3 linked regions of the Drosophila melanogaster genome follow. The protein of the gene in region 1 purifies or fractionates together with the protein of each later gene. This does not show direct contact. Each region holds a gene or a part of one and is shown in the gene's direction. Other genes may lie near its edges.

The links.
Region 2: the proteins of ND-39 (region 1) and ND-20L purify together in Drosophila melanogaster (affinity purification with mass spectrometry, with the first as the bait; one large-scale study listed by BioGRID). This does not show direct contact.
Region 3: the proteins of ND-39 (region 1) and CG10126 purify together in Drosophila melanogaster (affinity purification with mass spectrometry, with the first as the bait; one large-scale study listed by BioGRID). This does not show direct contact.

What each region holds. Positions count from the first base shown.
Region 1 is NT_037436.4:20,489,045-20,498,594, forward strand, and holds ND-39 (NADH dehydrogenase (ubiquinone) 39 kDa subunit), read left to right. Parts: upstream 1-3,037; 5' UTR 3,038-3,170; intron 3,171-4,197; exon of another isoform or gene 4,198-4,446; intron 4,447-5,618; exon of another isoform or gene 5,619-5,877; intron 5,878-6,302; exon of another isoform or gene 6,303-6,307; 5' UTR 6,308-6,435; coding exon 6,436-6,475; intron 6,476-6,580; coding exon 6,581-7,031; intron 7,032-7,113; coding exon 7,114-7,479; intron 7,480-7,547; coding exon 7,548-7,941; 3' UTR 7,942-8,040; downstream 8,041-9,550.
Region 2 is NT_033777.3:29,512,454-29,517,928, forward strand, and holds ND-20L (NADH dehydrogenase (ubiquinone) 20 kDa subunit-like), read left to right. Parts: upstream 1-3,263; 5' UTR 3,264-3,332; intron 3,333-3,359; exon of another isoform or gene 3,360-3,390; 5' UTR 3,391-3,391; coding exon 3,392-4,030; 3' UTR 4,031-4,074; downstream 4,075-5,475.
Region 3 is NT_033777.3:12,854,143-12,862,424, reverse strand, and holds CG10126 (uncharacterized protein), read left to right. Parts: upstream 1-3,178; 5' UTR 3,179-3,207; coding exon 3,208-3,249; intron 3,250-4,792; exon of another isoform or gene 4,793-4,929; coding exon of another isoform or gene 4,930-4,935; intron 4,936-5,819; coding exon 5,820-5,968; intron 5,969-6,062; coding exon 6,063-6,182; intron 6,183-6,237; coding exon 6,238-6,295; intron 6,296-6,387; coding exon 6,388-6,600; intron 6,601-6,657; coding exon 6,658-6,759; 3' UTR 6,760-6,881; downstream 6,882-8,282.

The sequences.
Region 1 (9,550 bases):
ATAGCCTGGGACATTGACGTAATTTTACGTGATTGTGGACATATAGCTACCGATTGTTTGATGGACGCCCCCACTCAGTGTGTTTGCCGCCATGTAACCCCAAGGTTGAACCCCATTCGGTTGGTCATTTAAATGGCCTAAATGCCCTCTAGTAGAGTAATTAGCGAGGGACATGTCGCGGTTTAATGGTATTTTTGGTTAATCCGAATAGACCATCTAAACAAAAACTGAAGGTCCGTGCAATGACCTTTATGGTAAATAAATGTGATAAGTTGAGGTATACAATGTGCCTAACTTAAAGAACAGAACCATGGACCTGCTATATGTTATACTTCATTAATGATATTTATAGTAATCCATTTATAGACAGCATTTCTATATGATTTCACTGTCGTTATATAAAACTTCCTTAAAGTGACAGAACAAGCCCAAATCGACTGTTGATTTAAATCTGTCGCTTCCACGTGGAATCCTCAATAGGATTATTACGCAAATTAACATTGCCGCCCAGAATACAATTTTATCAAATGTACAAACGCCTATGTTTGTCGTCGATTCGACTCTTAAATGAGCCAATTGCATTCCAAATTGTCACACGTGCAATGGCATATAATTAGAATAGATCAAATGATAAAATCTATTGTTTTAGAACCCCATAGAGATAGACATGGAAAGCGAGTAAGCTAAGTACTAAAGCGCTAAACGGCGCCTCGGGGGCACTAGATTGTGCGCCCCAGCAAACAATCGACTGTTTTCCATACTATAGCTATAGTAATTCCAGCAGAGACATTGTAGAAATAACAATTAGCAGGTAGCAACAAACTATTTGGATGAGTGGATGAGGCCATAGACATCTGTTTGATTAAATGGATTCTGTGTACTCGTGTATCTTCCAGTTGTTCCACTAAATGTTCATTTCCTCAATTTGATTTCGTTTTCATTCGAAATCCGAAATGGATGGGTAGTGGGTGGCAGGAGGCAATGTTATATAGGCTCGAACAAAAGATAACACAAGATAAGCAGAGCTACAGATACAGATACAGATAAAGATACTGATTCGTGTGAAGCCTCAGGTCGCTCATTGTTGCTGTAGTTGCTAGGGGATAATGAAGATAACGAAGTGATCCTCCCGATAAAATGTGGTGTGATATGAGTGGCATGTGGATGAGAACTGACGGTTCCCAAAGACTACCAAAAAAAAAGCAAAGATGTCAAGGCAGGTCTAAAAGCTGAAATTAGGCTTAGCTTTTCATTTACAATTTTGTATACCCATTACTCGTAGAGCAGGAGGGTATACTAGACACCCAGGAAAATTTTAGAGTAATAATAGGGTAATGCAAGGTCAACAGACTTAATGCCATTTTTTGGGGTAAAAGATTTAATGTACACTTGTTTTCGAAACCGATTAAAAAAAAAAGAAAAAGTTGGCATATCACGCTAGATTGAATAAAGTAATTGCTCGTATTTATTGGATTTGTATATTTAGCGAATTTTTTTTTTTCAAATTTAATGCTTACTGGTGGTAAACTGTTTAAATAAAGAAAATTAATATGCAACATATCGGTATTGTTATTGATATCGCCGCTAAACCTTTGATTTAACATCACTCGAAATATTTATTGAAGTGAAAACAGAAGCAATCGGCAAGTAAAATGAACAACTTATAACGTGTAATTAAATTTATATATAAATTTCTTTTAGTTTGTATGTTAACTAGCTATTTAATTGCGAATAAGTCCAATGTTCAATTGAATGTCCGTCCGTCCGTCTGACCGTACATATTTTTTTAAAGATATTTGTAAAAAGTTGAGACAAGGCATGCATCCCGACATCTGAGTAACAGGTATCTGGTTATTTTATAGATGCTATGTATAGTTAAACAACTATTTTACAAAAATGAAATTGCTCACAGATTAGTATTGCGAGAAATCTTTTTACTTTCGAGAATTCAATTGCAAAATTTTAAGGTTTTTATGGAATGTTTTTTCACCCCTTTTGTCATAATTATTTGATTACCCTCGAATCCGGACCTTCTCAGATGGCGTAAAGTCCAGATCGTAAATCTGAGCCAAGAGTTGACAGCTCAATTGCCAATTAGACCAATGCAACAGCTCACTCCATTAATTGAAAAAATAAACAAAAAGTGAAGCGTGCAGTAAAATTCGGGACCAATAACATTTGCTTTTTGTTTTGATTTGCCATCATCAGGTTTCAGGTGCATTAATTCTGTTTGCTTGTTTAATTTTTTGCTTCTTTCGGACCATTGCCTGCATACAAATGAAGTTTGGCAACAAACAGCATTTGTTGCCTATTGGTTTTTGCGTAGATTTTAAACTGAATTACAAAAATACTTCCTATACGGGTCCCTGGCCTGTTTTCAAAACAACCAGCAGCTAAAATCTAACAATTTTGACCATTTCGGACACGATGACAAGGTTGCCGATGCCTTTGGAATTTCTAATTCGCAAGGGAACGGTGTTATTTAAAAATTCTATCAATATTGTTATTGTCTATCAGTGGGCCACAGACAACGTGTGCTGCCAATATTTTATTACTTTGTTGCCCATGAGGCGCATTTGAACATTTCGAACGCGCCAAAATCGGACTCCTGATAAGCAGATAGAGATAGTTGTCTACCGACCCTATCGCTATCTCACCCCAGGTGATTAAGTGGTAAGTGGACAGGTCTGACTGATAAGAGCGATTTGGAAAACAATATCGAAAACAACTCGGCTTTCAGTGGGTTAAAATGCCATCACTAGTCGAGGGATTGATTCGATGGGGAATGTTGATGTTGCCACCGGTAAATGTTGCCAAGTGGAAATTAATATTTTTAGGGGGGCTCTCTTATAATATGGGATGTAAATATGACTTATTTAGGTAATACAGCCTTAAAATCATAGGTACATTATAAATATAAGATGTAAGATAAGAGTTAATAAAGATGGAACAACTAGGCGAAAGTAAGTATGCAGATTTTAAGTTATTCCATATTAGTAAGTAGTAGGCTATAAGTTAAATTGCATTGCACTCGGCTAAATTTTCCGTACTAATTGTGTGTTCTATAAAAATCCAGCTTGTATCTTACTGCTTTTTAGCCCATAATCATAAAAGTGAAACCCAATCCACGTTTTTTTTCGCGAATTCACAACCCTGACCACCTGTACATAGTAAGTGATGAAGCACACGATTCAATGAAATATTCCCATTATAATAAACAAAGAAGTGTAAATATTTTAATTACGATTTTATGCACCACCATCTACGTGCAATCTGCACCTATATACATAAGTATATATCTATATATGTACATATGTATGCTTTCCCTGCATCCTCATCGAAAACGTGATCAGTTGGGGTCCGAGAGATTTTTTGATGATTTACAAAAACCCATTAAAATAATACGAAGTTTGATATTAATGCTGATTACTAAAGACCCACTTCAATTACACTTAATGACTCGAAATTACAAAACGACAAATCTAATTGAATTAAATTTATAAACATACAATGCGGTTGCAGTGATAGAAGTAATAAATACAATAATAGCTTTCTATGTAAGAGATTAAAATATAATAATTTTTCTTTTAATATAAATGTAAAATTTTTGGATCTCACGCTACTCTTTAGATTAATAATTTGAGTTGGCTAATATAACCGTGCAACCAAAAATGCATTATTAACTCAATCGCAAACAAATTAGTTTGTTTATTATTTCATAGAGTAATTGTTTATAATATTTTGGAACTGGAAACACGGCCGAGCTGGGTTCTTCAGAACTTGAGCCAAGGCCCGGGATTAATTTCCATTGAATTAGCTAAGGGTGAGAATTTGTTTTTAGCTTAATCTCGATGCGACTGGCAGGTGGATCGTAGACAGATATAACCGTTAATTAGCATTAATTTCGATCGAACTTATTTTTATACACCGCAGAAGTAATACATATTTCGGGCAATATTTTTTCACATCGGTGCCAAGAGGCGCGAGGCGTCTTAATAATCACTTGCTAAATGGATCTACAATCTGCCCGCTAACGAATCAGTCATCTATATACAATCTGCGAGTATCCAAAACTGCGCGCATTAGGGCGTATTTTTCCGATTCCTGGGCCCAGATACAAAGCCGAATTTCGCATACGGCCGAAAAGCCCTTATCAGTCTAGACCCCTAATACTGTGGCTAAGAACTGGAGAATTACCGTCTTTTGGACTCTGATAAGCGAAAAAAGGCCTGCGTTCGCTTTACGTTTTCTAATTATAACCGCGGCAGCGTAAATTGCTTTGGAAAATGTAGCTTTTCCTATTTTATTGTTATTATTATTATTATTATTATTCACACACACGCACGTTAGCGATTTAAAATATTTCGAGGCACACGCGCTAATTTTTTCGGGAGCGAATCATTCAGATCGTTGTTAACTGCAGCGCGGCTCAAACACGAATGATCGCAAAAGACGACGAGAAATATACATATGGCAAAATAAACGGAAAACCCGAAGCACCATGCCGAACTATAAGTACTCTTTTAATTGAAATTCGAAATGTTATAATACTAGTAAAGCTATGTTCTACAAAAACAAGAAGATTTCCTCATTATAATTCTGAGCATTCATAATTGAATTAAAATTAATTTTAATTTTTTCACTAGAACGGATATGTTCCAAGAGTAGTTAATTTATTTATTTATTTACTTTTGAGTTACTCTTCGTAAGGGTATTAAAGGCAAAGAGAGATGGTCGAATAGGAGCAACAACAACACCAATAACCACGGCCGGCAAAACAAACGAAAAGCCCGCAAATTTAAAGGGTGGGGAGCAGAGATAAGGAAGAGAGAGGTAGAAAGCAACAGTGATAGTATTTGTGTGGGCGAAAAAGTGCGTGAGCAGGTTGAAAAAAAATCAGCTGATTGCATGTGAGCTATTAAAGAGAGCGAAATGAGAGCAGAAAAAGGAGAGTGAAATTTATACATATGTTGCTTGTTTATGCCTGTCAAATGTAGGTATGTTTGTATTGTCGTTATCTAGGTAGGTTTATGAGACAACAACAATGCCATAATAAATATTATAAATACATATTTACATATGAAGCTATGGTAATCTCTATAGAATTACATCCTCAATTGTCAAAAGCAGTGATCTGTGCAGATATTTAACTTATCAAACGCACAACTGAAGTCAACAAACAAAAAACAATGTGTTTTATTATAACAATAATATAAACAATGTGTTTTATTATTTATTTTTAGACAGGGTGATTCAATAGAAATATCTGACACGAAATTTACTCTTTATACACAAATACGTACATATATATGTATAAGAACGCGTTTGACACACTGACAAATGTTTATAATTTTTTGTATATCCTGACCCACTGCATGTGTATAATGTAATGTTACAATACCAGAAATATTTTTGTATCGAAGGAGGTTATTCATGACAGTCGCATTCGCCTGAAATCCCATTATCTTAACCAATCTAAAAACAAATTACTAACTTATATACCCTCGGTACTAATTAGTTTACCCAAGCTGTTACATTCAAACCAAATTAGCTAGTGGTCCGCACTTTATAACCGCAAAAATGTGTATCCATTATGAACAGTTTCACCACAAGCTCACTTTTATTTCACTGCTTATCGGTGTTTTTGGTCCGTAGAAATAGTTAATCCTTAGTTGGCCGATTTCGAACAGATAACACTAAGTTTTCCCGATGCTCTCGGTTTTACAGCTCGAAGGCGACTGCTAACTGAATTCTTTGTCCGTAGAACCCAAGCCGTGCCGAATTAAACGATCCGCGGGCTGGAAATTGCAATTAAGCCACGCACATTAGATAAAAAGTTTGCGGTGTGACAAGCAAGGCAGTTACTTTTCAACTGGGACACGGTTAGCTTATGTCTTATTTGCCAACAAATATTTATAAACTAGTGCCAAGCAAGAAGAGTGGTTTATATGACGGTTTAATTACCGCTAAGAGGCTAAGATATCCCCAAGGTTGTCAAAGTAATTATGAGGTAAAATTATTAGTGCCACCTAAATAGTATGAATAATTCGAGATCATAGTAGTTATAACCGTAGTAGCATTTACCGATATTTGATAATCAGATAATTAAAATATGTTTGGTATGCAATGGCCACGAACACGGTCTATTGGTTATGAGGTCAATTATTTACATATTTAGGGTTAACTTTAGGTTAACAGGGCTTTTTAAAAACTATAGAAAAAACTGTTACTTTCCAAATCAAATGTTTTTCTTCAGTCTGGCAGCTTTGTTTGACGGTAGTTTTTGATATCAACCTGTCAATTCTAGTATATTCCAATTGCTACGCCACGGTCACACTGTCGTGGGGCAAAATAAAAAACTGGCCTGTTCCGAAATAAAATAGGATTTTAAGCGTAAATTAACCGAATCGAGTTGGTCCAGTGTGCCGGTGCGAAATGGCCGCCATAGTACTAACCCGTAATCTCCAGCTGGCCAGTGAGTACCGTGCCTGCGGTCGAAAACCGCCAGGCAATCCAATTATGTAATACGATGTTTGTGGCTAACTTTTGGCTCATTCTCTGTCCAATTCCGGATACTTAGAGCACCACGGCAGTGGCGTGGTTGGAGTTTTGTGCCTGCGTGGATATTCCGCCGCTGCTGCGCCGCCGGAAGATGGTCCACGTCCACTGAAGACCACCAATCCGGCTGCCATGAAGCGCGGAACTGGCGGACGTAGCAGTTTCAATGGGATCGTGGCGACCGTTTTCGGTGCCACCGGTTTCGTGGGCCGCTATGTCTGCAACAAACTGGGCAAATCTGGCACCCAGATGATCCTGCCCTATCGCGGTGACGATTCGGATGTTATCCGTCTTAAGGTCACCGGTGATCTTGGCCAGGTACTCTTTCACTTCTACAACCTGGAGGATCCCGCCTCCATTCGTGACGCAGTCAAGCACTCGAACGTGGTCATCAACCTGGTGGGCAGGGACTTCGAGACCAAGAACTTCAAGTTCAAGGATGTCCATGTCAACGGAGCGGAGAGGATCGCTAGGTGAACATCATAGCCAGCATTATTTGCCTGCCCACTTCTTCATTCTAACTTTGCATGACGTAAACCACTTTTATTTCTTCAGGATTGCGCGCGAGGCTGGCGTGGAGCGCTTAATCCACCTGTCCTCTTTGAACGTGGAGGCCAATCCCAAGGATCTGTACGTCAAGGGCGGCAGCGAGTGGCTGAAAAGCAAGTACGAGGGTGAGCTTCGCGTACGCGACGCCTTTCCCAACGCCACGATCATCCGCCCTGCGGATATCTACGGATCCGAGGATCGCTTCTTGCGCTACTACGCCCACATCTGGCGCCGTCAGTTCCGCTCGATGCCGCTGTGGCACAAGGGAGAGAAGACCGTCAAGCAGCCCGTCTACGTTTCGGACGTGGCCCAGGCCATCATCAACGCCGCCAAGGATCCGGACAGCGCTGGCCGCATCTACCAGGCTGTGGGGTAAGTCAATCTCCGAGTCCAAGTATTTGTACCATGTACATTTTCTTAATTTCCTTTATTCTCTGCAGACCTAAACGCTATCAGTTGAGCGAGCTGGTCGACTGGTTCCACCGCCTGATGCGCAAGGACCAGAAGCGCTGGGGCTACATGCGCTACGACATGCGCTGGGACCCCACCTTCCTGCTGAAAGCCAAGCTGAACAGCTTCATCTGCCCCGGCACCCCGATTGGCGGTCTGCATCCCGCTCGCATCGAACGCGAGGCTGTCACCGACAAGGTTCTGACTGGTGTCCCCACGCTTGAGGATTTGGGCGTCACGCTGACCACAATGGAGCAGCAGGTGCCATGGGAGCTGCGTCCCTACCGCGCCGCCCTCTACTACGACGCCGAGCTGGGCGAGTTCGAGACTCCCTCGCCGCCCAAGTGCATCGAGGCGCGCGATGAACTGCGTCTGTTTGCCTAAGCGGAGCGAAGTAGCTGTCTGTGTTGATTGGAAATTTTTAGTTGGAATTGTTTAAGGCGATGCGTCAATAAAGAGAAGTCGAAAGACCCAATGACAACGAAGGAAACTTATATTTCCAAATATTATATAGACATTGATATATGTATTTATTTCGTGCATTTAAATATAAAAAAATTTATAAATACTTTTGAAAAAAAAGTCAAATGGCTAGAAAAGTTTGATGTCGGAAAAAAGATTGGCAGCTCGAAATACCTTTGGTATTTTTCGGTATCTTATTGAGGTGACATCGCTCCGGCAACTAAATCAAAACAAATGAAATCGCTGTCATCGTCTGGCAACGCTTCGCCCGTCCGATTTTTCTTCCTTTGCGACCAGGAGCTTTTCTGCAGCAGTTTCCTCCGAAACTTACGCCCGTGCAGATTTATGGCCGGAAAATCATAGTACGGAAAATTCGATTTCCCAAGTTTTCTGAGTCTGTGTGTGTGTGTGTTTTTGGTGTGTGTAAAGATTTTCAACTTTTCAGCTTGGTTAAGCGGTGAAAAAAGAATATATCAACAACAACACAAGCGCGCGCCCGCCTCTCTTTTCGCGTTTTTGTGCGTGTGAGTGAGAGTGAGTGTGATAATTATGGCATAAGTGGCATACAAATTATGATAGCAGAATTCCCACGGCCGACGACGAATGTGAATTGGGAAAATCGAAAAAGCAGGCAAAGCCAGGAGGCGGATAAATCGCCGAGCGAGTGCAGCAAATCGATCAGCTGTGACGTCGACGGGGGCAGAAAGTTTGGCCAAAAGAAAAGGTCAAACAAGCAGCAGCAGCAACAACAACAACAACTGCACGCGGAACGGAAAGAGGAGGAGCTCTGTCACAAGCAAGGGGTAAAGGATAAGAGTAGTAAGAAGAAGGAGAATCTAGCAGGCGAGGAGGATAAGAAGAAAAAGCAAGAGGAAAGGGAACATAGCAAGAAGAAGCAGCAGCTTCAGCAGAAGCAAAGGGCAAATAACAAGAAGAAGAAGCGGCATCAGCCTCCCCGTGTACAGAGGAAAAAAAACCTCGTCTTATTTTTAGATTATTTACGCCAGTTTGGTGCCGTCGAAAGCGAAATTGTCGCTGTTGAATCAGCCGGCTGCTGTGACGTCAGAGAAGCAGGCTGCCATCACGCCAACGGTAAATACGCCGCCCATAACGGCACTTGGAGCCATTTCGAGCATAAAACCGAAATTTATGCTCTATATCGTCACCTGGAGATCGGTGGCCCGCTCGAACAAGTGCAACAGCAACAGCAGCTGAGGGTCTGTCCAATCAAGACCCGGCTGCGCTTCGAGATGCTCTTTGCCGAGCCACCGCCCACCCAGGGCCACGCCCCCACCGCCCACGGTCACGATCATACGGCCGATGATATGCCAGATGCGCCACCTGGCGGCGAGCCGGTGATCCCAATGCTGCAGGATCAGCAAAACAGCGAACTTATGGCCGGTGAGTCTAATCTAAAGATATTAAGTTAAAAAAACAACAAGCGGGCTTTATTTCCACAATAATTTACAAATTATTACTTTAATAAATAACGCAATTTAAGCAACAAAGTTTTAAAAGCCTATCACTATGC
Region 2 (5,475 bases), on another chromosome or scaffold:
TAACCTTCATGAAGTGTTGTGTATATCACACGAATATATTAATCATTCATTATATATTGTTTTCAGCGCTTTTTAAAGTACTTCGAAGCATCTTCTCAGATGTATGTATCTTTAATGTGAATGGTGAGTATTTTTGGCTGAAATATCTTACTTACTTAATTTTCCCAGAACTGTTAGCTACTATTTTGGAGTTTTTCCCCAAGCCAGCATCATCACCACCACTGCACCCCCCCCACATTCCTCATTTGGGTGGTCGGCCACTCGGACTCGGGGAGTTGGAAACTCGTTTGTCCCGCTTCACGTGGATGGGATGTGTAAATGTATGTTAATTTGGCGATCGTTAAATACGAAAATTTGTTGGCTTTATTGTCAGCTGAGACCGGGCTCTTTGTCTTTTGCATCTTTAATTGGTTGGCTGGTTAAGCCATATGGTCTCGATCTGATTTGTTAGCGTTAAAACCTGTGGTAGCTTTGCGTTGGCTTCTTGTGTGGGGCTCTTAAATTAGCGTTAATCGGCCGGACATAAAGGCTTAATTGCGGCTTATCGCTGGCTACAGCAAGTTGATAACAAGGAAATGCCGTAATAAAGAAATTAAAATGGCTGAATACACGGGGAGAATGTTTCTACTTCTTGTTGCACAACATTGTTGCAGCTAAAGCATCAGCAAACACTTGGGATATGTTTTTCGGATTCCCCAACCCCATTTTTCAAAAAAAAACATTGGCACAATTGGAATTTAATGGAGTCAATTTGGTGCCTGGTGATGCATAAACTGGCCAAAAGCAGTGGATTGGTGTGAGCACTCTCTTGAATGCAAAGAGCTTCCAATGGAAATGGAATGCTGCAGATGCTGCACTGCACTGGCAAAAATAAAGGAATGCCTATCTATTATTTGTAGCTCCAGCTGGCTACGATTCTTGGTGTGCAACTGCAAAGCCTCTGCTTATATTTCTCTCAGTGTACTGGCCAAGTTGCTCCTGCTGGCCGCTAACAATGCAGATCAAGAGATGAGCGCGTCCATTTCGGTCTGCGGATCGCCATTGTTCCGCTTGGCATGTTGTTGTTTTAGGAGCTCGCTAAAAAGACAAATGTGGTGTGCGGATGCGGATGTGGATGCGGGGGAGTTGCTCCTGACTTAGTAAGGCTCTCCAGTTCGAGCTAGTAAGCCAGCCAGCCAGCCAGCGCGTGTTAGTTCCACTCGTTAAGGATTTACGAGCAATTTTTATCACTTTGAGGATCGCTGACAAATCCGGCAACAACAATGCAATGCAACATGCGCATAATAATGGCAAGTTGTCCGGCATACAGCGTGTATATAAATACATATATATATATGTGCTGGTTGGGATATATGCCATGGCTATGTGCTATGAGCCATGAGACAGGAAGCGCACTCGGCTGTCTCATCGTTGTCGCTGATGTGGCCAAAAGTGGCCAATAAAACCCCAGCGACGATGTCACCGGGCAGCAACAATTGCAGTTGCTGTTGCAGTTGCAGCAGCGATGACGACGAATTATAGCAAAGTAATCGCAGTGGACTCTCCAGTTGCCAGTGCATCCTTTGTCCACCTGGATCATACCCTTTCAAGGAGTAGGATATGCCAAAGCCAACTCTGAACTACCATTTATATATAAGTATTACAATCATATCATATCATGCCATAAATCAATTTATACTCTATACTAATCAAGTACGAGGTCAATTTATATATTTATTACATTTATCTATCCACATTGAAAGCTATAGAGTATTCTGAGTTTCCCAACTTTATTTTCCTTTCCACCTTACTTATTTATTTCGCATCTTTCCCCCTTATTTTTTTTTTGTACATTTTCCTTGGCCAATATCGTTGGCGGCTTTTGGCGTTGATTTCCCTTCCAATTTATGTGACATATTGATTTTAAATTGATGATAGTCTATTTTGCGTTGGCCAGCCAACGGAGGAGCGAACAAAGCCGAACGAAACCAATTTATTTTAGCCATTTTAAATTGGCATTTTCGCCGGGTACGCAGCAGCGTTCGCTGCATTTGGCCAATGCGTTCGGGCCAGGCTCATATGACTTCATCAGCGGTTTATTGTCGACGGAGACGAGCTGGCTGGATAGCTTATGGTCTTCTGGGCGTCTGAGCTTCTGGCCTTCTGCTTTTCTGGCTGGGAAAATGGCAGCATACTGGCCTGCCTGCTCCATTCATAGGTGCGCATTTAAATGCAAATTTAATTCAATTAATGATGCATCAAATGCAGCCAATGCCTAATTGCCATGCGATGATCGTCGTCGTCCATGTCCCGCGTATTTATTTTCATTTCATTTCGTTTTATTTCATTTACTTTTTCTATTGCCCATCCTGCAGGATTCGCAGCAGAAGCCGCAGCTGCCGCTTGACAATATGGATGATTTAGTAGTCGCTGCCGTTTGGTTGTCGTGTCTGAGGCACCATAGGCGTAATTAGACAAGCATTGTGCAAAAGCGTTAATTAAAAACCACAGAGACACACAGCCAGTTGCCATTTTTCCACCGACTATTGACTGCCAGCTGCGCCAGCGCCACGACTTCAATCTCACACTAGGAGATACATTTGCAGCAGCCACAAAACTGTAGAAGTTCACTGCTCATTTGCTCTAAAAACTATAAGATACATTTCGGAAAAAATGTAACTATATTGAACAGTTTATGAAAAGTTACTACAAGATACAGTTTAAAACTGGTCAGCTTCATTTTACAGACTTTGCTTTAGAATCTACCCTTTAAAGTGCACAGTTTTTTTTTAATATGATTTACTTACAATTTCTTTCATTTAATGTAGAATGTATTCCTTTGCCAAAAGATCTTTTTTTTGCAAGTGCAGCTCCGCGGTGTCGATTCCGTAATGAGCCAGCGCATCGATTGCGTAAGTTCTCCGCGGATGCATCTGCTCCCAGTTTCCAGGGCCCATTCCCATTCCCATCTCTCGAGTTGCATGTCCCCAGGTCCTCGAGTCCCATTAGTGCACCCGTGCAGCGGGGATGTGGATGGTGATGGCGCTGCAGCAATCAGCTAATAATTTCCTCCTAAGCGATCTGTACTCAAGCATCCATGGCGCATGAATGGGAGCTCCATGCTCATGCGTATTTATGAGCTTCATGGATTCCTGTTCGCTGTCCGCCCAGCGTTGAGTGCCTGGGATTTCGGATTGATTTTGACGCCAATCGGTGGCGTCAGGGGAATCCAAATGGGATTTACAAGAGCTTATATACATTGTAGAAGCCAAAGTGTTAAAAATGTTACATAGCTCAGCCTCAGAAAAAGTTGTCAAACCTTCAATATAGCTAGCAATATCTAAAAGTTCAAAGTAAGTTTTCACATTTTCCATGCATTGCTACATCGCAAAATAAATTAAGTATCTTCAGGATGATAAGTTTCCTGAAATTGGCCAGGAATCCTGGCCAGCTGCTGCTGCCTGGCAGTGGAGTGCTGCAATCCCAGTGGCTTCGTGGCCAGAAGACCATGCCGGTGTACGATTACCGTTGCCAAAATCCGCCAAAGTGGGGCTACTCGGCCTTCGGACGCAACCAGAAGACCTGGGGCGAGTGGACCTGTGCCAGGTTGGATGACCTGCTAAACTGGGGACGCAAGGGATCCCTCTGGCCGCTGACCTTTGGTCTCGCCTGCTGCGCCGTCGAAATGATGCACATTGCGGCTCCTCGCTACGACATGGATCGCTACGGTGTGGTGTTCCGAGCATCTCCTCGCCAGGCGGACGTGCTCATCGTGGCCGGAACCCTGACCAACAAGATGGCACCGGCCTTTCGGAAGATCTACGACCAGATGCCCGAGCCGAGATGGGTCATTTCCATGGGCAGTTGCGCCAATGGTGGCGGCTACTACCACTACTCCTACTCGGTGGTTCGCGGCTGCGATCGCATTGTTCCGGTGGACATCTACGTGCCCGGATGTCCGCCCACCGCCGAGGCCTTAATGTACGGAATCCTGCAGCTGCAGAAGAAGGTAAAGCGCATGAGGACCCTGCAGATGTGGTACAGGAAGTAGAGAATATTCTTGTAAGGAGTTCAGTAAATAAATGATACCTTGTTAAGTAAAGTGTTTTTGGGGTGGTGCAACCGATAAGTAGAGTTGGGCTTAAATCGATCCTAACCTAATCCGATCTCTGCCTTACCCAAAACGAAGTCAAAGAGTTAAGCGCATCAGTTCCAGCAACTACACAAGATTCCTGGCTCAGAAAGTCGCTTAGTCAGCGGAATAGGGCTCGTGCTCACCTGCAAGGATCGGTTTCATGTCCCGCAAAGGACCTCTTGAAGCGAGTCCTGCAGACAATGCGCGGAGACAATAAACACTTCTGACGGCACTGTCTCTCAAGTGGCGATGAAATATGAAGGGTTCTTGAGGCATATGAAAGGATTTCGTTGTTTCACATTTTTTCGAGCCAGCCCGAAAATCCTTTTTGCGAATCTGGCGACACCGAGCACTTGAACTTGGTGGGAACATCATTAAATCCCCGTTCGAGTGCGGTGAGTGCATTAAATTGTGGGACAACTATCGCATTAGTGTAATCCATGTGCGACACACCCACAAAACTGGCAGATCCTCGGCTTGAATGGAAACTCTCGAGAGTGAAGGACTTGAATGAATGAGTATCTCCTCTCATTCAACGAGCGGCGAGAAAAGGACCTGCACACTCTGAAAATCTGGACAAAGGCGCAGCAGGCAGCCCGCTGATCTTCGGGGATCCTGGGAATCCTCTCGTGACTCGCACAATTCCTGCGAATAAGAATGACTGCGTGGGGAAATTAACTTGTCTCAATCGCACAGCAATAAAAATTAATAACAAAGCCACTGGCAACTTGTTCGCCTCCATTGTGCAGGCATTAAATAAATTTAACAGCTCAATGACTTGTCGAAAGGTGCTGGGAGAATCCAGGGGCTCCAGGGGCTCCTGGGTTGCTGCAGAATCGAAATCAGTGGACCGTTCGCAGCCAGGCGAGCATATCTTAATTAGCAGACCCCGGCCCACATTAACCTTAATTTTGCTCTGTTTTATTTTACCGATTTCTGCTTAATTGCGGCGCCGAGGCGCCAACGAAAAAGCTTCGCAAGTGCACAGGCAAAATGTTGTTAACAACTTGCTTGGAAAGTGAGCTCAGTTAATCAGTAAGAATATTCAAGAGAAACTCATTGATTTAAGTTGCTGCGTATATCTACATTAGTTTCAGATTTTTTTTTTCGATTTTTTTCAGTGCACTTGCAGCGACTTTTCGCTGGGATTTCCAGTGGAGTGTCCAGCGACGCATGCTCAGGATTTGCACTTGAGTGAAAAGCTGGTAATCTGGAGACGGGGCCACGACCACCGTGGTGGGTGCTACCTGCATATCCACAGCTCGCCAGCGATTGCAGCCCCTTTGCTGGGCAAAATGAGTGGGTTCGGCCAATGTTCCACGGGCAATAAATTACGTCAGAGGCAGATCGGGCAGAAATGC
Region 3 (8,282 bases), on another chromosome or scaffold:
TGTGGGTGTGTGAGTGTGAGTGTCGTCTCCGTCGTCGTCGCTCGTTAGAATTTGCGGATTGAATTTCAATGGCGATTGATGACGGCTGCATGTGTGTGTGCACTGCGAATAAATAGTATTATTAATTTTAGTCTAATTGTCTCTTAGGTCATTTAACTAAATACCTAAAGCATAAATTAAATATGTTTGTAAAACAAAGAGTCGAAGTGCTATTGTAATTCACATGAATTAATTTTTATTTTTGATTAATGCAACTTGTACACCTATTTGTTTTTCTCAGTGCATGTGATTGTGCGGTTGCTTGTGTGCAGGTATTAGCCGGCACAGCTTGTTGAGGGCACAGAAACAACTTTGGCAGGAACTCAGACACCGAAACGCGACTCCGATCCGAGTTTCCTGGCTCATTTTATGATAATGTTCAAACCTGGCGTTAATGAGCTCTTAAGCTTAAATAAGAAACGTGATTTAGTTACTAAGTAAACTAGGAAATAAACGCCAGCAAACTGTGCGAAAGAGACAGAGAGGAAAGAGCTTGCGAAAGAAAGTCTTCGCTTAATTTGAAAAGTTTGACAACGCAACCACACACAGCATCCTATCACACCAAAAAAAAGGCCACCAATATATCCTAGATAGCACACTAGGTGTAATAAGCACAACTATCAAATCATTTACGGCTTTTGGCATTCGCATGTCAACTTTTTGCATACAATATCCTGCCAGTTAATGGCCGAACTCGACAGCCAAATGAAAAAAGTTACTAGATTCGTGTGCATCGAGTGTCCGTCATCAGGTTTGATCAATTTTGGCAGTTTTAATAATTTCCAGTCATTCAAAACCAACTAATCAAAACTCACATGGTGTCGGGAATAGACCCAAAGCAGTCTTGGGTCCAGACGAGTTGACAGTTTGGCATGGCCAAAGATCAAATCAAAAACCTGTCCGAACTTTAAATGCCCTGAAAACGTTACAAAATATTAGAAGAGGCAAAGGTATATTGCTTTTAATATGTTATGCATTTTAAATGCTTTTGTTAAAGATGATCGTTAAATTAAAGCAATGATTTAATATTAATCGTTGTAAATTTACCTACCCAACCTTATAACCATTCCTTAAAACCCCATTAACAGAGAGTAGAAACAACCCTTTTCATGAATAACTCAATTCAACGCAGTTCGGCTTATAAAATTTATGTAAATCTGTTGGAAATTGAAATATGCAGATGCTCATTTCGAAAATTAGGACAAAGGCAAAACCCGTTCGACCAACGAAATGTATTAAAATGTATTTCGCATTTTATTAAATTTGCCAACATGATAAATTCTTTGGTGCCTCGGCACTGTCAAGCTCGCTGGCGACCCAACTTAAATTAAGTAATAAGTTTTATACGCCTTGACCTCAAGGGTTCATACCACACACACACACACTACCTTTTGCGCAAAGATACAAAGCTGAATATGTATTGACACACTCCTGGCAGACTTTTGCCTTTTGTGGTTCAAAGGTCGGGAGCGTGTGAAAAGCAGACAAGCAGATTTTCTTATTAAAATTATACAGATCTTACGGTCTGAAGTGGGGAAGGCATTTAGGGTTAATTTCGGCACCAGTCCCAAACCGACATAAGGCACAAAAGTTAATGTGATTAATGTTTACTTAATGAAATGAAGTTATCAAGTTGATTTTATCAATTTACACACAGGCGTCGCCACAGACAAAGACCCAAAATTCTCGAGGGCCTGTCAAAACTGGCGCCGGTGTGATGAAGGTGCTCCTCCATCCTAAGGATTAGGTGAGAGTCGTTCTCGCCTTTGACGAAAAAGTGAAGGGGAAAGGAGCTGACTCAATGCACTGAGAATAAGCGAAAATAAGAAACTAGGTCAAAATCTTTTCATAAAAATGTATAGATATTTTTAATCTTTTCAATAAATCCATTTAAATGCAATGTAAATATTTATCAAAAAAAGGTAATTTTTAAAATGTTTAATTTCTTTCCAGCGGTAGTTTTTGGTGGTGCTAAACTATGCTGGGCTGAACCTAATATTAGTAAAATGTGGTTGACAACCGACTGGTGTAGTGTTGGCCAGGCAAATATTTGCAACAGTCTGTGGAAGATCTTGGCTTTCGGATGGATAAAGTTGGATGTGGCAATCAGTGGACGTGGCAAAGGGAATTCCGTGGCAACAAGTTCAATTAAATCCCAGTCTCTGTCGAATTTGCGTCTTTCGTTAATCAATGCGTTTAACGTTTTCAATCAAGCAACTGGCAAAAAGGCAAAGGCAGGCGAATGATTGAAGGGGTCGCCAAGTGGGGGAGGGGGCAAGTCAGTCAGTCAGAGAGACAGCTCAAATTCAGTTAAGCATTTCACTTATTTGCATATAAATTGATTAAAAAGAAAATACACGCCAGGCACTCGCACACAGTCGCAGAGTTTTGAGTGTGTCAACATGGCAAAATGGCAAAAAGGACGAAAGGGTCCTGGTCTTCTTCTCGCCGCTTTCGCTCTGTCGCCGTCTCATTCGCATGTTTGGCCATCTCCCTCTCTCAACTGGGGCTTTTCCTCTTTGGCAATTTCTGACACTTCAAATGCGTATGATTGTTTTCCTTTTGATCAGCGAATTGTGAAGTGATTCACTGATTGAGTTCAGGCTCAGATGATGCGTTGACAACATCAATGCACACACTCTCCCGTTGAAGTCCCGCCCTCTTTCCAACGTCCTTTTCACACACCCACTCTCTCAGACGGACAGTCAGTCAACTGGGGAAATGTGTGGAAAAGGTGGAAAACCTTCAGGTCATATCCACTAACCACTCGCTTGCCTTCTTTCTTGCTGAAAAGCTTTCTCAAAAGCGTGGACAGGGGAAAAGTTGTTACTCTTAGTAAAAGCTTATCGAAAATAGATTTCTGTTAAGAAAACTACTCTTTGTATTAATGAATAACTTAAAAATTATCCTTATTCTAAAGAACACAAGATAATTTATTGACACAATTTCACCATTTTAGAACACGTGTTATTATTTCTTGTGGTTTCTTTGGCTAAAACGGGACAAGTTCAAAGACACGATATGAGTCACCTTGTCCCATTCATTGCCGCAGTGTGTTGTGGTACACCCCGAGCTGTTGCCTAGTTCCACTTACTTGTGCGGCATTTATTATTTTAGTTACTAAGTTTCGCCGGCTGAATTTAGTTGAGTTTCAATTCGTAGGGCGGCATGTTCTTGAGGGAGATTCGCACGAAAGGCTGGAGCCTCAAGGTTATTATAAATAAATCAATTATCAAACAAAAACTTTGATTCTACTCTGCTAAACATGCTAAGTACCGTTATAAAGGGTTTATTTGAGTGCATATTACGCATACGCAGTGTTGGCCGCCGGCAGTGATTCATGACTGATTATTGGGGCCGCGCTAGACAAACACGCTGGTCGAAGTGAAAATATTGTGCTGTCATGTTTACCTGGCTTATTTCCCGTAATGGTCGTATGACATGGTAGTGCCTCTAGGGGCGTATGCATATTATAAGACCCTTGGAACACGTGCACCGACCAAGCCGTGTCCAATAGCAACTTAGTTCAAGGCTATTCCTTAAATTAAGTGTTGTGTGCCGCCTATTGGAAAATGAATTTTACCACAGCAAATGCAACCTTAAATGGAATGTGAAGATATACAAATAACAGCAAAAGTCATATTCGATTTACCAAGTTTATTTTAGTGTACTGCATTAGGTTTTAAATATTTACAGCAGGCCTTACAAAAAAAAAAAAAAAAAAATTAATAAAGAATTTAAAGTAAATAAAAAGAAAAAGTGAATAGTTAAAGATTGCATTCATTTACATATTTTAAATTCTGCGAATCAAAGGCCAAGTGCAGTATTAACTTAAAGAGACAACATCATTTTTATTTCCTGATCTTTATGAATGAGTTTAATCGAAACCAACGCTTGTTTAACTTTGAACTTTCTGTTGTTGGTTGCCCTGCAACTTCAATTAAATCCAACCAAATAAATGGCAAACTCGTGGGCACTTTGAATTGCATACTTTCAGGTGCTTTCGTTTTTTTATCTAGATCAATTTTACAGGCCACAATCACTGAGTTTGAATATTTGTTTTCTGTCGGCTCGTGTTGGCCGAAAGTAAACATTTGGCCAGTGAAGTCACGAAATTGGTGTGTAGGAACCCGCCACTTTTTAATTGAAATAAAATGTTTAGAAGACCGGGTATATTCCACTATCAGAGTTGTCCATTTCTATCTAACAAAGTTGTAGGCACTCGAAGTTTTTTTAGGCATAGAAAATATCTTAGCTTACAGAAATGTATTGTTATCTAATAAATTTCGCTTGTTCGTGGAGAACAGATTTATATATAAACATGGTTTGGTCATGAGAAGTTTATTGTCAAATGTTTGGGTAAAATCTAATTTATATGGGTCAATATATTTGATTAAATTCATTTTATATTATCTTATTTTCTAACAGTATGTATCTTATTTTATTTTAAAATAAAGCTGCCATCACTGGCAAATGCGACCGAGTTATTAGGCGGATGAGTCAGGTGAGCTGGCAGTCCAGTGGGTTTTCTGTCTGGGACGAACTGTCTGCTCTACATGAGCGTAAATGCTTTTTAGTAACTAGTTTTCCCCCGCCACAAAAGCCGGCAAAGCTCATATTTCATTTCCACTCGTTCCACGGTGCTCCCCATCTGGGTGAGTGCCTCTCGTTCTGTCTCGAACCTTCGTATCTGGCCATCTCGCTCTTCTCGAGCGACTGGCTGTTTATTCATTGCGACCGCTTTATTTTTCGCTTTCAGTTTGCATTTCAAAGCCGCCAAAGTAACAAGTATCTTGCAGTTATCCATTCAGTTGGGCGCCTATAAAAAAAACAAGCCCCCATCAAATTTTGTATAAAACTAGTGAAAAGGTCTATTCACGAATAAAAAACATGGAGGTACGTTGTGCTTGGCTTGTTTATTCCCGCATTTGTTTTCTATTTGTGGGGCCAAACTTTTGGTCGGCGACCTTCACCTTGGGTTCCAATTTGGGAAATTGCGAAAGGGCTTTCTCCGAAATTAAAAATCCACCCCACTTTCGTTACACCTCTCCAGCTGATTATTAACTCCCCTTGCCTAGTGACGAATTTCACTTAATTGAAGGCAAGTCTCTTTAAAAGTGTGACGAAACAAACACTTAGAGAGCGTCTTGAGAAAAATCAGCAGAGGCGAAGCGAATGATTCACTGCGGTTCAAGGGATCTTTTGTTTTTATATTGTTTGTGTTTGCGCAGTAGCTTTAATTACTTGATCCATAAATGGATATTTTTGTTAGTCACTTTTTTTAGCGTTTTCGCTATAATTACATTACGGGGAATAGCCATAAGAGATATAGGAATGAAATTGAATACTCTGGTTTTGATTCGCTGTAGTTTATTTGCTTTGGTTGACATAAAAATGAACTCTAACATTATTTTGATATTAAGGCAGATAAAGGAATTAAAAGATAAGGTCGCAATATGTATACTCAAATGCAATACATACATGCAGAATAAGACAGGAAAATCTTTTTTTTGTAATTTTGTAGAATGTACTTGAATTGTTTTCCATTGAATATTGCTAATTCTTACTCATATATCGGTACTGTGGACCACATATTACTCACGGTTAATTTTCCATTATTATACGCCCACATCAAAGTTAAAGAGAAGCGGGTCAAGCTTACTAAAATCGAAATCAATCGATACACATTTTGTGTAGCAATGTCAAAAATTTTTGACAACTATTTCACATTAAATTAAACGTAAACGTATTTATAAATTCTAAAAATGCCTAAATCTAAGAACCCGAACTGTGACCTCTACACCCTGGAGGCCAACATGGCGAGTCAAGCGCTCCGGGAACTGACAGATGGCGAGGACAAGGATCCCATTACCAAGCTGCGATTGCTGTGCCTCAGCCGCGGAGCAACAGGCATACTGGGATTGGGCAGGTATGATTGGCTTATTGCCTTTTAACGACATTTCAATCGGACCTGCGCTGAATTATGCAATAGTAACAGTTTAACTTTCGATTATTCATGGCAGGGCCTTCCGGGCGATGGACGACGATGGTAGCAAGGCTCTGAATGAGGAGGAGTTCATCACTGGCATTAGGGACACCGGATTGGATGTGTCGGAGGAGGAGATCAAGCAGATGTTCGCCACGTGAGTGACGGCAGTTTCATTAACAATAGGAGAAATATTAAATTTCCCTTTTTAGGTTTGATGAGGATGGCAGTGGATCGATTAATATGACCGAGTTCCTGCTTAAACTAAGGGTAAGATGCACAATACATCTTATTTTGTACATACCATTCATAAGCTATAAACTATTCCATTCCATTGAAATATATTATTTTCCCATACTTAGCCCCCCATGCCGCAGAGTCGTTTGAATATTATTGATCAGGCGTTCAACAAAATGGATCGTGATGAAGATGGAGTAATTACCATTCAAGATCTTAAGAACGTGTACTCTGTAAAAGAACATCCCAAGTACCAGTCTGGAGAAAAGTCTGAGGATGAAATTCTTACCGACTTTTTGCACAACTTTGAGGGAGGTCGAGGAAACCTGGATGGAAAGGTGAGTCCTTATGACATTTTCTGCCTACAAACAACTTAAAAATATCATGTACCACAGATAACCCGCGAGGAGTTTGTCAACTATTATGCCACCATTAGTGCCTCAATTGACAACGATATGTTTTTTGATCTGATGATGCGACGTGCCTACGTCATGTAACTAGTGCGCAAATCTCACTGAACATTTTAATCTCAATCACTTTACTTGCCTCGAATTTAGTCCTGCTCATGTCCTATTTATACACTATATACAGAAAATAAATAAAACGTCTGGTTGCAATTAAATAAATCTCAATTTAAACTCCATATGGGCAAAGTTCCAATTGCAAAGAAATGAAGTATATCTGCTCATAATTCGAATTTGAAATACTTGACGGAGTTTTGGGCTTCAATGGATTTAAGGTTTCCAGAACTTAACATTCGTTAGCTGTGAGCATGCGAAGTGTTTGTCAAATATGCAGAATAACAAGTAACAAGTTTTCTCTAAACATTTGTTCGTAGTTTACATGGATTTAAAGCCCGGCTGGGTGGATACACCGAGAAGTATGAGTTAAACATAAGAATGATATAAAAATAGAAATATGTATTTTGTTGCATATGCATTTATCTGGCATAATTCAAACCACCTTTAATTGCTCGTAAGTCCCTAGTAATTTGGCAAGAGGGCCTCATCTAGTGTTTGATCGATCATTTTTTCTGAGTGTGTCCACGCATGCCTCTGTGTGGGCGTGGCTTATAATCAAAGCAGAGCGCCGAAGACGGCAATCACAGCCCCGAACAGGGAACCAAGCCCAAAATGCTTGCCAGACTCGGCAAATTGTTTGGAATTGTCAGCAGCAGCGAACTGATGTCCTCCGCATCGGTGTTTGGGTGTATGGGTGAGGTTGGGTGATGGGTATGTTTGTGAGAGTGTGCGCTGACTGGTTGGCATTTATCACACAGCCAGGACCGGCAGCCTAAATGTATGCTTTAAATTATGCAGACACCAGCTGAGTTTGTCGCCACATGCAACTGTGTGCGGGCATCCGTGTGGGTGTTTCTGCGAGTGTATTTGTTTGTGCGTGGCAAGTTTGGGCACTGATTGCAAGCAACTCATACAAAATTTTAATTGCCAATGTTGAAATTACGCACTGGTACAAAGAACGAGCGGGAGCCAGACTTCCGCAGAAGATGTGTGAGAAAACCCCGGGAAAACAGACTTGACTAACAAGCCGTGCACTGAGAAATATTAAGATTAACATGAAATTTGTAATAAACTGGTATAAAAAATCGGGATAAAAGTTAAGCAGTACATTGAAACTACTTTGTTGCAAAAGCTTTAGATGGATTTTATAATTTTTATAATTTTATAAACACAACCCTTAATTTTATTTAATGTGTGTGCTAGCAGTGCATATGCAATTGTGCAGTACTATCTGGGCTTCTGCTGTGTGTAAATCACACACTCACAAGTTTATCGTATCATTTCATTAAATTTTATTTACAGCCTGGCAACTGTCGTTGGGTAGCTCCTCCTATTTGGCAAGTTTTTGGCCAACGACAATTGAGAATTTGTGGCAGTTTTCAGTTGCCGGAAACTTCCTGTCGAAGCCCCAAATGGTTAAGCTAATCAAAAAAATTTCAATTGCCATTTTCGTTTGGGTTTGTTGTTGGGGTTCACTAATTCAAACATATATCACCAGA